Tribolium castaneum: one gene and its partner. The protein of the gene in region 1 binds, or shares a complex with, the protein of each later gene. Links are inferred from orthologs where the notes say so. Each region holds a gene or a part of one and is shown on either strand. Other genes may lie near its edges. The genes, in order: Suv3 and PNPase.

Region 1 (3,831 bases):
CCTTCAACCGTAAAAAAATCATGTTCGGACAAACACCCCTTGGGACCTTAACGAATTTTTTTAATTTTACAAAGTTTCTCTATTTTGCAGACTTTATTTTTTTCATTCACTTTATATACTGCAATTTTCTTTATTTTTGCAGGAGATTAAGCCCTTCAATAGGGCCTTCGACTGTAAAAAAATCATGTTCGGACAAGCACCCCTTGGAACCTTAATGAATTTTTAAAGATTCTTTAAGATTTTCCGATTTCGCAAACTTTATTTTTTTTTCACCCACTTTATATACTGCGATTTTCTTTATTTTTGCAGGAAATTAAGCCCTCGAATAGGGCCTTCAACCGTAAAAAAATCATGTTCGGACAAACACCCCTTGGGACCTTAACAAATTTTTTTAATTTTTATAAAGTTTCTCTATTTTGCAAACTTTTTTTTTTCACCCACACAGTATATATACTGCAATTTTCTTTATTTTTGTAGGAGATTAAACCCAACGATAGGGCCTTCGACTGTAAAAAAATCATGTTCGGACAAACACCCCTTAAAACCTTAATGAATTTCTAAAAATTCTTTAAGATTTTCCGATTTCGCAAACTTTTTTTTTTTCACCCACTTTATATACTGCGATTTTCTTTATTTTTGCAGGAGATTAAGCCCTCGGATAGGGCCTTCAACCGTAAAAAAATCATATTCGGACAAACACCCCTTGGGACCTTAACAAATTTTTTTAATTTTTATAAAGTTTCTCCATTTTGCAAACTTTTTTTTTTCACCCACACAGTATATATACTGCAATTTTCTTTATTTTTGTAGGAGATTAAACCCAACGATAGGGCCTTCAACTGTAAAAAAATCATGTTCGGACAAGCACCCCTTGGAACCTTAATGAATTTTTAAAGATTCTTTAAGATTTCCCGATTTCGCAAACTTTATTTTTTTTCACCCACTTTATATACTGCGATTTTGTTTATTTTTGCAGAAGATTAAGCCCTTCGATAGGGCCTTCGACTGTAAAAAAATCATGTTCGGACAAGCACCCCTTGAAACCTTAATGAATTTTTAAAGATTCTTCAACGATAGGGCCTTCGACTGTAAAAAAATTATGTTCGGACAAACACCCCTTAGGACCTTAACAATTTTTTTTATTTTTATAAAGTTTCTCTATTTTGCAAAAGTAACCCACTATTGACATACCCTGTAGTGTAATTAAATTCCTACACTTAAAAAATAATTAAAAAAATATACAAAAAATAATTATTTTTCTATAATTATTATTATTATTACAAAAATTATAATTACTAAAATAAAAAATAATTATTTTTCGTTTTATTGACTATAATAATAATAACTGTAACTAGTAGACCTGAATTTTGTGCCAACATTGCTTCTACATTTTCTAAATCTAGCAATTTAAAGCAATTATTCGCCTTTTTTTATTTCCTTCGTGAGTAGGAATAATAAAAACAATAAAGCAGTAAAACACTCACATCCACCTTTATTGTAAATTGTAATAAACATAATTGAAGCAATTCTGAAGTCGCCTTAATTCCCGTTCATTTAGCTTTACGAACAAACTTAAGATTAAGCGCAAGTGTATGTTAATATCCGCAGAAAAAGAAGCAACAAAAATGAATGAAAATAAATAAATAATCTTCCAGCTAAGCCACTGTTTTCCTCAACTAAATTAAAATATACCAAGTATTGCTGGGTTAGTAACAACCAACTTGCGTGCGCCAAATTTCACCAATTTTTCTCGTATATTGTTCAAAAAAATTAGTCAGCGAAATAGCAAAAGTAGCCAACCTCCAAATACCCCATGACAGTATGGTGTTTTCCTCTCTCCATAGGAAGAAACAGGTAGAAATAACGTTCTGTGATGGAATATTTGGAAGGTGCAAAACGATATTTTCAAATGAAGCCGTCGAAAAAATTAAGCTTCTTCTCTCCCTGAGATATTGGGTACTTAATTCATATTTATTATAATTATAAAAAAATAAAGAGGTAATGCTTTCGTATATACTCGTAATAATAAGAATAAGGTAAATTTCATTAACAAATCAATTAAGCTAAGAAATGATAAAAATGTTTTTTATGGAATTTTTTGAAAAGTAAAATTGTTAAAAACCTTAACTATAATCCATATTATTTTATTTCTTTATAATTTGTAATGATAGTGTGATTATAGAGTGAACTACTGAGTACAGACTGTACCAACACTCAGGCCACAGTCTTAGAGAAAAAAATAATTAGAAATAATCTGTGTAATATGGAAATCGTTTTTGATTCACACAAAAAAGCGCTAATTTTTAGAAAAATTTTATAAATGGCTTTTATTTTTAAAGCACTTACCTAGAGCTGTGTCTTCTACTTTTAAATCAGTCAGTCTTTTATAATGCCTCACTTCAATATCCTCATTTGTCGTCAAACACAACTGGCTTATCAAATCAATGGCACCAGCCTCCCCACACAGGTGTATCTCCTCAGCGACCAGCCCCAAAAAGGCCCTAGTCCACGCCCACCCCCTCTGATGATCCCTCACCATCTGAATTTCATCAATAACCGCAACCTCATCTAAAAATTTATTAAACGACCACAAAAAATCAAACCAAATAATTACAAGGTGCAGTTAGCGAAGCCATTTCCACAGTGCAAGAAACATGAGTCGAGGGCTGTCCGGACGAGTCAGCGTATTTCCGTTCTTCGCCCGTTACCAAATCACACGGAGTGCCCTAAAACCCAGCACTCGAATTTATTCAATAAAATTGGACACCTACCCTTGAATTACTTTTTTTGTACACTTCGGCGGCTAGTAGTTTAAGGGGGCCACAGTAAACCCCCGATTTGGCAGTAATGAAACTCTCTAACGCGTGAAATGTCTTGCCCGAGTTAGTGGGGCCCGCATGAAAAATAATTTTGCGGTTCAAAGCCCTGGCCTCGGGGTACCAGTTAGCTGGGGTTCGCAGATCCGAGATTTTTCTTAAATCGTCCATGCATTCCAAATGTGGGAACATTTGCTTGGCGTGGCGTAAAAAATACGGGAAAATATCGGTAATGTTCCCAGCTCCTTGTAAAACATCGCTCACAACAACGTGCAAATCGACAGGTAAAGTCTGCGCTTCGAGACAGTACCGCCGGAAGCTAACGTACGCTTGGTGTTGCAGATAGTCTAGAAAAATTCTTTTTACTTAGACAACTTAAGGTCGGATTGTTACTAACTATCAAGCCCATTTTCCGTAAGTAATTGCTTGATTTCCTTCTTTTGGTAGAACTTATTGAGGACCTTGAGCAAATCGGCTTTGTTTAAATTGCCAGTCAGTTCGGCCCCCACATTTATATCGTCAGGGTTTGGTTTCACAGGCACAGGAATGAACAGGGATGATATGGAACTATCGTTTTTTTTAAACCGTCGTTGCGATAATTTTAAATTATGTCGGGCCAAAAGGTTCCGATTTAACGATAAATTTTGGACCGCGGTACAGAGGGCTCCGAGGCGTCGCCCGTTTTGCAACATGTTGCGTATAAAAGCAAGGTTAACTGAAAAAATTTAAGGTTAGATAACTGTCATCCCTGAAAAATGGTGGTGGCACGATGAAAATTACAGTCGACCAGACAATCGCTGTGCGCATGGAGCACCATTTCCCCACCATTCTCGTTTTCTACAGCCGAGTTCACACCAGGAAAATTATCAAAGTAATCGTAAATCATTATAAAAACATCAATAAGCTGCTACGTTGACTTGCATATCACATTTGCAAAACATCTCCTGGACATTCTAATGTGTTTCTAATACAAATTAAAACTTAACTGCATTTTATTTCTGCATTTTTTATTCTC
Region 2 (2,800 bases), on another chromosome or scaffold:
ACTTTTTGATGACCTGTAGAATATAAAAGAGCACTTCAATTCAATTCTCCTGGTAAGTATCAATCGATATAGTTCTTGACTTCTTGAAGTAATGTCGTTTTATACCATTGCGGCAAGTGGCCATATCAACTTGAAGTATTTTATAGTGGCCATTGAAGAGGTGCAAATTATTGTTTCTGTTTATACGACAACTTAACTTTTTTTGTCCAAAGTTTATCACCAAGGTCCAGTTATTACGTGTATTTCGCTCGATTTTTTTAATTACGGATACTAGGACAAAGTTAAAGATAGAATAAGACTCAATAAGTTGGTTTCCTAATCGCTCCTTATCCCATTGCATTGGGAAGGCGAGTAAGACAAAACAAAGCGCTCCACAAAGCAAACGAAGTAAGCCGATAACGACCACACTGGCTGAAAATTACCCAACTCTTTATCGATTAAGTTATTCGCTTTCAACAGTTAGAAGAGAGTTTTCCACTTTCAAATTTTTAGATTTTATTTTCAATTTTTATGAACACAACAAAAAAATATTTTTTTTGTGGATTTTTGTCCGATGTCAGGAATGGCAGTTACGAGGAAAAAAACTCTTTGTAATTTATCGTGTTTTTTATTAAATTCATTAAAAAATACAATTAATTCACTTTGGCGGCGCTTGTAAAACCTTCCTCGAAAGCCTCATCAATCCCGAAACCGGATCCCTTCCAAAATACTTCACTTGTATTTCCTGCCCCACTTCCAAATCGAGCGCCGACGGATGCGCAACCTAAACACAAAAATCAATTAACGTAATTAAATAATAACACCCAACCTTTCGCTGATCCAGCTGCGAATTGTGAAGCAATGCTGGGGGCATCCCCGGATACAACGTAACCATAACTCCTATATCCCTCAATTCCACGATCGTGGCAGTGTAAATCCCCCCAAACTCCAAATCTGGCACTTTTTCCGCAGTCAGGAGTTTATTAATATACTCCTGAGCCTCGTCCATGGCGCTTTGATTCGGCGCGAAAATTTCAAAAGTCGTGTCATCGATTGCACTCACCTGTTAAGTAAACAGCTACCAACAAAAATAACAGAAAAAGAAACAAACCTGGACACCTGTTTCAGCCAAAAGTTTTTTTAAGTTAATGCCACCTACACCAACAAGTTTCGCCCTTTTGTGGGCCTCAACTTTCAACTTTTCGCTCACTGGCCAATTGTCTTTTTTCACAGTTCGGGGTTTATCGATGCATTCGTGCATGATTTGGAGAATTTTTTGTTTAGCTTCGGTTGCTTTCTGTATTGACTCCATTACGATTTTTAGGGGAAGTCCCGGGATTTTTATGTCGGCTTGCAGGGCTGTTATCCCTTTTTTCGTACCAGCGATTTTGAAGTCCATATCGCCCATATAATCTTCTATTCCCTTAAATGCGACATTAAATTGCCGGAATTGCTCAAACAACAAAATTAATTGGCTACACTGACGACAAAAATCATAAAACTTTAAAATTTATAAGTACTACGGATTACTATAGGTAAGGATACGAAATGACGTACAAATAAAACGTCCCCGTTTTCAATAGTTCCGTTAGCGTCGCACAGATGGTGCAGTTTCATTGCACTATTTCGTTTGAGTACGATTTGCTCTCGTTTCGTTTCCTAATCTATAGTCCTCCGTGGTTATTAACCTTAATTACTTAAAGTTAGTAATAAAACCAAGATGTTTTATTTGATTTTGAAAGAGTAATTAAACATCGGTAATTGCAAAACGATTACCAATAAATCAGTCAACAGGCGATAATCCGTGATATTTGCTTTCTCATCGTCATATCGCGTGATTAATCCAATTGCCACCCCTGCAGCGGGCGCAACAATTGGTACACCTGCGTCCATTAAAGCCAAAGTTCCCCCACAGACGCTGGCCATAGAACTTGAGCCTACAATTCAGCTTTCAAATGGAATAAACGCCAAGTGAAAATTTACCATTCGATTCTAAAACTTCCGATGTTAGTCTAATCGTAAATGGAAAATCGTCAGGGATTGAGGGAGTCAAGCCTTTTTCCGCTAAAGCCCCATGCCCTATTTCCCTCCGCCCTATTGGACCAATTCTCCCCGTTTCCTTTGTCGCAAACGGCGGAAATTCGTAGTGGAGAAAAAAATTCTTCTCCTTGACACCGCTACAAAATCAATTATTGAATAATTTTTTATCACGTGAATTGTAATGAACTCATGAATACAATGATTGCGTATTTGTTGAAATTTTGTTCCTGTTCGTGTTCATAGTTCCGATTGCGATTTTATTAATTAATAACTATAAACAACTGTAAAATTTAAATTTGTTTTCGTTTCCGTTGAGGAAATGCATCGAGCGCTAGCTAAAGCCCAAATGAATTAAAAAAATAAATTCCGTTTTACAATCAAGATGCTGGAATGCAGAGGAGCAGGAACACAATCTTGCGAATTAATTAAAGCCTGGGAATGAAATTTACGACTGTCATCACCAAGGGGTTCAAGGTGCAAGAAGTTATGCTTTTATTCAAGAAAACTAATGAACATCTAACGCAGTTTATCTTGTCTAGACTCCGAGCAAAGGGTTTGGAATAATATGAATCTGACATTCCGTATCTGAGCCGAATTTATCTCTTACATGGCTTTTATAATTTCATTTTTTATTAATGGGATAAAAATACGAATGAATGAGAAATTAATACGTACTGACGTGAAATGAGATACAAAAACACACGTCCAATATTAATTTCAGTTGATAAATTATTACGTAGCAATGAATAAAAAATTCTATAAATAACGTAACGATTCGAAA

The links.
Region 2: Suv3 (region 1) and PNPase share a complex: the UniProt entries of both Homo sapiens proteins name them as parts of the mitochondrial degradosome (mtEXO) complex. The link is inferred for Tribolium castaneum from reciprocal best matches to the Homo sapiens genes SUPV3L1 and PNPT1.

The regions. Positions count from the first base shown.
Region 1 is NC_087395.1:15,403,129-15,406,959, reverse strand, and holds part of Suv3 (ATP-dependent RNA helicase SUV3 homolog, mitochondrial), read right to left. Parts: intron 3,532-3,831; 5' UTR 3,509-3,531; coding exon 3,214-3,508; intron 3,164-3,213; coding exon 2,772-3,163; intron 2,727-2,771; coding exon 2,615-2,726; intron 2,569-2,614; coding exon 2,347-2,568; intron 1-2,346. UniProt on the Homo sapiens protein: Major helicase player in mitochondrial RNA metabolism. Component of the mitochondrial degradosome (mtEXO) complex, that degrades 3' overhang double-stranded RNA with a 3'-to-5' directionality in an ATP-dependent manner.
Region 2 is NC_087396.1:24,452,205-24,455,004, forward strand, and holds the end of PNPase (polyribonucleotide nucleotidyltransferase 1, mitochondrial), read right to left. Parts: intron 2,157-2,800; coding exon 1,963-2,156; intron 1,917-1,962; coding exon 1,756-1,916; intron 1,403-1,755; coding exon 1,091-1,402; intron 1,043-1,090; coding exon 809-1,042; intron 764-808; coding exon 638-763; 3' UTR 588-637; downstream 1-587. UniProt on the Homo sapiens protein: RNA-binding protein implicated in numerous RNA metabolic processes. Catalyzes the phosphorolysis of single-stranded polyribonucleotides processively in the 3'-to-5' direction. Mitochondrial intermembrane factor with RNA-processing exoribonulease activity.